2 linked regions of the Mus musculus genome follow. The protein of the gene in region 1 purifies or fractionates together with the protein of each later gene. This does not show direct contact. Links are inferred from orthologs where the notes say so. Each region holds a gene or a part of one and is shown on either strand. Other genes may lie near its edges. The genes, in order: Taf5l and Atxn7l3.

Region 1 (3,800 bases):
GTGGTACTGGTTTTGAAGACATGAAGGCTCATGAAGAGCAGCTGAGGCCCGGCACTGTGAGAGGCCATGGAAGGCCATTGATGAAGGTGCAGCCTCAGTTGCCCAGGACTGAAGGGGTCATGCAAAGGATTTGAGGCTTGGCACCATGAAGAGAGCCTATGAGAGGCTATTGGTGAAGCCTAGTTGCAGTGCAAGACCCCAGCGTATTGGAGATGCCAGTACCATGGGATGATCACCAAGAACAGCAGTGGCACTGGAATGGATCAACCTGAGCTTAGAGTGCTACAGAGGGCAGAGCTGGACAAATGATGCCACCCCTTTGGAGGAGCCCAAGATGTCAAAGCCATGGGCTATCTACTGAGGAAAGCTGCTAACAGGGAGTGGAACCAGCCCAGGAGAAAGAAGTTTGTTGGACTCAACAAAGATGAAAAAGGGGTTGGAGATGTGGAAACTGCTTTGACATCAGACATGGAGATGTAGAGTTTGGAGTTTGCCTGGCTGGTTTTCTGTCTTGATTTGGGGATTTTAGTTAAGTGATTGGATGAATCTCAAAAGAGACTTTGCACTTTGGACATTGTTGAGACTGCTATAGACTATGGGGACTTTTGAAGTTGGACTAAATGTATTTTGCAGTATGCTATGTTTAGGTATGGCCCCATAGACTCATATGTTTGAGCAAGTCTACAGGGCCCTGGGAATGGCCTTGTTGTAGTAGGCGTGTCACTGTGGGTGTGGGCTTAAAAACCCTCACCCTAGCTGCCTGGAAGTCAGTCTTCCACTAGCAGCCTTCAGATGAAGCTGTAGATCTTTCAGCTCTGCCTGCACCATGCCTGTCTAGATGCTGCCATGCTTCCACCTTGATGATAATGGACTGAATCTCTGAAGCTGTAAGCCAGCCCCAATTAAATGTTGTCCTTTATAAGACTTGCCTTGGTCACAGTGTCTGTTCACAGCAGTAAGACGGGGCTAGATGTGGTTGCACCTTTAATCCCTGTACTTGAAGAAGGCAGATCTTTGAGTTTAAGGCCATGCCAGACTACAAATCAACCAACACTGTCTCAGAGAAAGGAGGACTGGTGGGATGCAGCTCACTGGTGCAGTGCTTCCTGGCTGTTCGAGGCTCTGGGTCCCATCCCTAGAGCCACAGGGAACTTCCCATTGCCAGGTTCTCAGCTCGTCGGCAGCTGCTTACCCAGGATCTGGGCTTCTCTGGCCTTTGTCTGATGCTCTGCCTCCTACTTTGCTGCACGTATTCTTATGCTGCTGGTACCAGCTCTCTAACAGAGCAGCAGAAGTGGCCTGAAATTCAAACTGGGCCTGCTTGCTGCATGCAAGCACTGATAGTCCATGTGCTGGTTGAATGAGTGTGTCTGAGTGATCTGTGGGTGTTACCCCTGCTGTTCTCCCCCAAAGAAGCTGGCTCCATGGCCTTTGGAAAAGTAGATAAAATGAAAGAGAATGTAGGTTTATAACCCAGACTGTGTCCTCACTGGGTCCCTTCAGTGTCTGTCTTAACAGCTTTGTGACACCTCTGCCATCCCTTACACCATGCTTTCTGTGTTCTTCTTAGGTCATGAAACGAGTGCGCACGGAGCAGGTTCAGGTGGCAGTGTCCTGCTACCTCAAACGCCGGCAGTACGTAGACTCAGAAGGCCCTTTGAAGCAAGGCCTGAGACTCTCACAGACCCCTGAGGAGATGGCAGCCAACCTCACAGGTATCAGGGTCCTATGGATGTCCCGGAACGGGAGCTGTCAGGGCCCACATGGGTTCTCAGCAAAGGGTAGGCTACCAAGCTTCAGTGAGCAGCTCTGAGGGGCACTGGCCTTTAGACCTTTCCTGTCCCTCAAAACTATCCTCACTGAACTTGTGGAGGCCCTGCTAGAGCCGTGTATCTTTCCTCAGAGAGTCCAGATTGTTTTCTGTCTTCCTGGTGGTAGGTGCAGCATTTTGTCCCCTATAAGACCCTGAGTGCCTTGAGCAGGGCCTCTGCTGGCACAGAACCTTGCTCCTGGGAGGGAGTCAGGCCTATACTGTGAACTCCCTCAGTTCTACTGTATTCACGAATATCCCTCCATCCACAATGTAGTAGCTACATATGACATTTTCTTCAGGTCACTAAAGATGACATCTGGAAGTCAAGGTCAGTACGACCTAAGTGGGTACCTGCTGCTGCAAGGAATTTGAGGGCGTCTTTCTCCGTTTGCAGAGCTTCAGTGTCTCTGGATGTCGTGTGAAAGTTTGCCTTAAAGTTACAGTAGAAATCAAGAGCAGAATGGTGTAGACTCTACACTGGGTTGTGCAGAAAGCTTAAGTTTCTTCTTTAGGAAGCAAACTCAGGCCAGATGTGATAGACATACTCCTATAATTCCAGCATAAGGAGACAGGAGAAGAGAGGATAAAGTCAGAGGGGGCATGCTTGCATGTTAAAGAGTGAGACCCCAGGCTGCTGCTCCTGCTAGCTTCCCGGAACATGCCATGCTAAGTGATACCCCACACTCCATCATCCCTGTGGTGCCCTGTTTCACATCCAGGCAATAGGCCTGGGGGAAATCCTTCTCTGATACCTGTCCATAACATAGCACCGAGATAAGAAAATGCTGCTCAGGGAGAAAAAAACATTTTGAGATATATATTTTTTTAGTGTGCATTATTTTAAAAAAAAATGGTGTTTTGCCTGCATGTATGTTTTCCCTCCTGTGTGAGGGTGCCAAATCACTTGGCACTAGGTTACATACAGTTGTGAGCTGTCATATTGGAAGGCATGGCCTCTCAGATTGACAAACCCAGGCCATAGCACATGTACCATGTTAACATGGGCTAGACATTTTCAGATAAATCTCAGGAATATTGCGTGCTTCTCTTCTCTTCTCTTCTCTTCTCTTCTCTTCTCTTCATCTCTCCTGCTTTGTAGCTATTCAATCTTCTGCCCTAGTATTATGGGGTATCAGAAAAGAGGGGAGACAAAGGGGTGTTAGCATCCTGTCCCAGTCTGTCAGGGTCCTAGAGACTACTGAGAGATGCCATTGTGCTCTGTGCTCTCCCTCTGTCCGTCCTGCTATGTGGTAGACAGTAACTGCCTTCCTGCCTCTGTGTCTTCTTCCTTTTAGTCCAATCAGAATCTGGTTGTGCCAATGCGGTGTCTGCAGCCCCATGCCAGGCAGAGCCCCAGCAGTATGAAGTGCAGTTTGGACGCCTGAGGAGCTTTCTCACCGGTGAGTCCTCCGAGAAGGCAGGTGATGGATTCTGTCACAAGCATAGTGTTTTAAAGTACCACCACACTTTTAACACAATGCTTCCATGCAAATGAAACTGTGAGACTTAGATCTTGAGGTTAACGTTTACAAGGATAGAGAACTCTGCCTGTCCTATTCTCTTTGCCTGTGGCTTTTGGCACCGTAATTTATGACTTCCTCTGACCAAGCCAGCTCAGTCAACGGGTTCTCCAGGGCAGGAGTGAGGATTAAAAAGAAAAAGACAATTAGACAACATTGTAGTATGACTCTAGCCAGGTCTGGGGCTGAGTCAGGTTTATTTTTTTCCAATTTGCTTTCATACCATTTTAATACCATCAAGTAATGTCAATTCTAGGTTGAAGAACAAGCAACAATACAATAAACACAAATAAGGAACAGGCGAGGCAATAAACAAAGTCCCGTGATCACTTTCTAAGGGCTTATTGGGAAGTCCAAGATATCTGAGCCTACTTCCCCGTCCTAGCCTAAAATCAGATTCCTCCCTGCACTTACTTCCTTGTCCTGGCCCAATGTCAAATTCCTGCCAAGCAGCCCCAAAAGTCTCT
Region 2 (4,503 bases), on another chromosome or scaffold:
ATGTTAGCTTCGGTTGTTTCTGAGACAGGGTTTCACTATGTAGCCCCGGAAGTATTTATGTAGATTAGGCTGGCCTCAACTCACAGAGATCCTCCTGCCTCTCTCTACCTCTCTCTGTTGTGGTAAAAGGAGTGGCTAGGCATAAACTTAATTGTTAAGTCTTTCCTATGAAATAGGTACTATCATTATGTCCTCTGGTAATGGACAAAAGAGGCGTAAGAAGGTCTTTTGCCTGGTCCACCAAGTTAAATTCAGAACTAACGTGTGGTCTTATCCGCTTCGAAATATCTACCAAGAACCTCCATACATGTTTGCTGAAGAGCGAAGAACCAAAGATGGTCTCAAAGTACGTGATTCCAGAGTTTAATTTTATCTGAAGCTAGAGGCCTGGCACGCAAAAGTCTCGAGGCTGTAGACACGGCCACGTACATGTGAGCGCAGATCTAAACACCTTGGGTGGCTGAGAAAAGGACCTTTCCTCCCGAAGCTAAAGAGGCGAGAGATGGAGGGTAAGGCCACTCCCAGCGGAGCAGCTTTTAGTGTAGGCAGAGTCTGGCCAGTGCTAAGCAGTCTGTCTGAGAGGTGGAGGGTCCAGCGTGGGCTCCGGAAGCAGGAAAGGCGAGCAGGTGTGGGATCTAAATTAGGATAAGGGCGGGAGCGCGCTCGACTCAGAAGGGCGCAGCTTGCACTCCGCAGTGAACCTTCTCCCTTGGGTTCTTTTCGGTTCGGAGGCCTGGGGTGGCTGGTGACCCACTCCGAAACCCAGAGAACGAATGCAGACCAGCCCCTTTTAAGGTTGTTCCTTCCTGAGCGCCTAACTGCACCCCATTTCAAGCCCAGACTCTTCACACAACTGACTGTATGCCTCGCGGTCAAAGTGGGGGAGCGACCGGGGAGCAGAGCAGGGAACCCCGCGGGAAGGGCGGGGATGCCTGGGCCGGAAGGCGTCCCAGGCTCGGCTGGGAGCCGGCGCTCTCTTTCGACGCCACCCCGTTGCCTCCGCCCCCGAGCCGGCCGGGACGGCACCAAGTCTCCGCCCCTGGCGCACCGCGCACCTCACCTTGAACGCTGCCCCACCCACCTCGAGCCTATTGGGCCTCCCGGGCCGAGGACACTCCGCGATTGGCCGGACTCGTCTACGGAGGCCCCACCCATCTCCCCGCCCCAGGTCCCGTCCGCCGGTACTTTGGACGGCGGCGTGGCGCCCCTCCTCCCCTCCCGGTCCCCGCCCCCTGGAGCAAATGCTGCCGAGCTGCGGCCGCGGGGCAGATGCACGCGCTCGGGCCCTTCTAGCAGGCGCGAGCAGTCGCTGGGCGCGCGAAAGCGAAAGGAGGAAGAGGAAGGGAGGGCGAGGGCGGGGTGTTGAGGAGGGGCGGGAGGAGGAAGAGGAGGAGGTTGGAGCGCGCTCGCGCCTGGCCTCGCGCCCGCGCCGAGGGAGGGGGGAGAGGGGCGCGCGCGCGCACGCTCGCGTCCTCGCTCGCTCCATCCATCCATCCTCCGGTCGCGGCACGCGCGCGCGCTCCGGGCTCGCGCCGCACCCCCCGCCCGGGAGAGGCGGGCTGGAGTGGGGGGCGGGGGGAGGGGCGCGCGGACGGCGCGCGGACTGCGCGCGGGCGGGGTGAGGTGAGGAGGAGGAGGCGGCGACGGGACGAGAAGGGAGGGGAAGGGGCCATGGCCGCCCGGTGAGGCGGCGAGGCGGGGGGGCAGCCCGACCCCCCGGCCCCGGGCCCCGGGCCCCGGGGAGAGGCGAGGACGGACCGACGGACATGGGGCTCCGGAGCAGCCGCCGTCGCCGCCGCCGCCGGAGGACGCGGCCCTGAGAGGCCGCCGGGCCCCGGCGCGGCCCCCCGGGCGGGGTGAGTACAGAACAGGGACGGGGGAGGGGCCTGCGGGGGGCGGGGGGCGGGGCCCGAGGCGGGGCTTGGGCCCCCTCCCCCCAGGTCTGGGTCAGCGCCCCTTCCCCTCCCCCAGGGCCGACGCGGAAACGCCCGGCTTTCCCCGGCTTCCCGGCCGGGCCGGGGCCCCCCGGTCTCCCCCTGGCTGGGTCCTCCTTGGGCGGGGCAGGGCCGGCCGGGGAGGGGGCGCGGGGCCTTTGTTAGGGAGCCAGGCCCCAGCCCCCGGGACAATAGAGACACCCTCCCGGAATCCTCTCCCCGGCCCGTCCGGGATCTGGGCAGGCGGCGACCTAGTGGGGTCGGGACGCGTCCCACTCTGCTTACTCTCTGGGGGTCGGTCTGTCCCGGCCCGCCGCCGGCCTATGGGCGGCTCGGCTCTCCTCCCCCCAGTCGGTATGATGCAGCAGCAGTGCCGCAAGGACGGGAGAAGAGCCGCGACACGGCCTGCTCCCCTTCCCAGTGCCCCTGGCTCATTTGTCAGTCCCCACCCCACTCGAGGCCGGCAGCTTCTTAAACTCGTACCCACTCTTCAGTGGGGCCCCGAACTGTGGGCACTGTTTCTGAATCCTACGGTGGGGTTTTTGGACTTTGGGGCTCTTGGAGAGACTTCCGGGCTGGTCCTGAGGGAGGGAGGGTGCGATCTAAAAGAACAGGTAAGGGGAGTGCCCACTCGCGTGCGTACCACGGGGCTCTCCTCTGCTCACGTTCTTGGTGGCTGGAAATGCCCTTTGCCTGTAGGCTTCTCTGGGCTCTGTTCCTCTCGTAGAGTGGCAGGCTTATTTTAAGAGAAGACAGAGTGGGGTGAAGGTTGTAGGGTGTTAGGGCCATTCCTACTTCTGGTAGCAGTACCCCCCCAAGTGGACATCCTGGCTGAAAGCAGAGGTGACTATGACAGCCCTTAGGGAAACGGGGGTTGTCTTGAGGAGTCTGTGCAGTTCTTTGCCACACCCTGTGGGTTTGCTTTGAGGCCTTAGAGTTCCTTCTCCTCCCCCTGCTGCATTGCACCATGGGTATCAAAGAGGGGTTTGAGTTTTGGGTACCTGGGATGAGCTGCTGCCTCCTATAGACCTAGAGTCTGATTGGCAAGGCAGTACAGTTCAGGGCCTGAGCTTAGGCCTGGGAAGGACTAGGCCACCTCTGGTTCTCAGGCCCTGAAGGACCATCTAGACCTAGTGAACGGGGCCTTGGGGAGGGAGACACACTGATGCCAGGATTAAGCCCTGGGCTTGGAGGTGGGGAGGGGAGGTGGCAGTCTCTGGAGGTGTCTTGGACTCACACCAACACCCCCACCTCCATGTGTGCAGCCGTGTTGCCGCCCGCTGTGCTATGAGCAGTCAGAGCGCCGTCTCCACAAGAGTTTACAAATGAAAATGGAGGAAATGTCTTTGTCTGGCCTGGATAACAGCAAACTAGAGGTGAGGGCTCCCCCACGTGTGCCTCCGGTTCTTTCTCTCAATGTCTCTGCGTCCGTCGCTAAATCTGGCATCTGTGCCAAAGGAGGAATTTGGGTAGTCAGCCTTGTTCCTTAGAGGGAATAATAACCAGCTGAAAGGTCCAAGGATCTGGGAGGAAGAAGGAACTCAAAAATCAAGGTCAGGAAAGTGGCAAAGAAAGCAGCATGCTTGGTCAGGGCCAGGAGATTTGGTTGGTGAGAGTTGTTCAGTCAAGGTGGGGTGCTCCCCTTGTGACCATGGATGCTGGTGTTCTCTTCCGGGGCCCAGGCCATCGCTCAGGAGATATATGCTGACCTGGTCGAGGATTCTTGTTTGGGATTCTGCTTTGAAGTACACCGGGCTGTTAAGTGTGGCTACTTCTTCCTGGATGATACGGATCCTGACAGCATGAAGGATTTTGGTGAGCCTCAGGGTGGAAGGGGAGTGGTCTAGCTCTGCCCAGGAAGGGCTTAGAGCAGTCCTTTAGAAACTGTCCTATTTGTAGAGCCTGGAGCTCCTGTGAGCTTAGGCAAGAATGGATTTAAAGAGAGCCTGGGACCATAGGTGAGGACAAGAAGTTAGGGTACCCTGCCCGCTCTGATCGCCACACCTCTCCTGTCCCCAGAGATCGTGGACCAGCCTGGGTTGGACATCTTTGGACAGGTTTTCAACCAGTGGAAGAGCAAGGAGTGTGTTTGCCCCAATTGCAGCCGCAGTATTGCTGCTTCCCGCTTTGCCCCCCACCTGGAGAAGTGCCTGGGAATGGGTCGCAACAGCAGCCGAATCGCCAACCGTCGGTGAGAACCTCATGCTTCCAGCACCAGTGATGCGCAACTTGTGCAATTGGTACCGAGGTGTAGTCTTATGGGGTCACTGGTAGGGTACAGAAGGGGGGGCCACTCTTGGTCCTCACGTGCTTCCCTATAAATTCATGTGCAGATGGGTGATATCCTTTAGCCTTGACATTTTTTCTTCTCAACTTTGGGCAGGATTGCCAATAGCAACAATATGAACAAGTCTGAGAGTGACCAAGAAGACAACGATGACATCAATGACAATGACTGGTCCTATGGCTCAGAGAAGAAAGGTGTTTTGGGGGTCTGGGGAAACCTGGGAGAAGCTGGGGTGAAGGAAATAGTAGTAGAGTATACATTTGCCATAAACTGTCTTGATGG

The links.
Region 2: the proteins of Taf5l (region 1) and Atxn7l3 purify together in Homo sapiens (affinity purification with mass spectrometry; 7 studies listed by BioGRID and IntAct, counting the BioPlex papers as one, with this or other methods). This does not show direct contact. The link is inferred for Mus musculus from reciprocal best matches to the Homo sapiens genes TAF5L and ATXN7L3.

The regions. Positions count from the first base shown.
Region 1 is NC_000074.6:124,007,604-124,011,403, reverse strand, and holds part of Taf5l (TAF5-like RNA polymerase II p300/CBP-associated factor-associated factor 65 kDa subunit 5L), read left to right. Parts: intron 1-1,570; 5' UTR 1,571-1,573; coding exon 1,574-1,715; intron 1,716-3,108; coding exon 3,109-3,213; intron 3,214-3,800. UniProt on the Homo sapiens protein: Functions as a component of the PCAF complex. The PCAF complex is capable of efficiently acetylating histones in a nucleosomal context. The PCAF complex could be considered as the human version of the yeast SAGA complex.
Region 2 is NC_000077.6:102,293,756-102,298,258, reverse strand, and holds the start of Atxn7l3 (ataxin-7-like protein 3), read left to right. Parts: upstream 1-1,629; 5' UTR 1,630-1,856; exon of another isoform or gene 1,857-1,870; intron 1,871-1,904; exon of another isoform or gene 1,905-2,257; coding exon of another isoform or gene 2,258-2,548; exon of another isoform or gene 2,549-2,777; intron 2,778-3,199; coding exon of another isoform or gene 3,200-3,259; coding exon 3,260-3,310; intron 3,311-3,616; coding exon 3,617-3,749; intron 3,750-3,953; coding exon 3,954-4,125; intron 4,126-4,317; coding exon 4,318-4,415; intron 4,416-4,503. Other genes in the region: Gm33851 (cyclin-dependent kinase 13-like), read right to left, coding at 563-635, 1,082-1,494. UniProt on the Homo sapiens protein: Component of the transcription regulatory histone acetylation (HAT) complex SAGA, a multiprotein complex that activates transcription by remodeling chromatin and mediating histone acetylation and deubiquitination.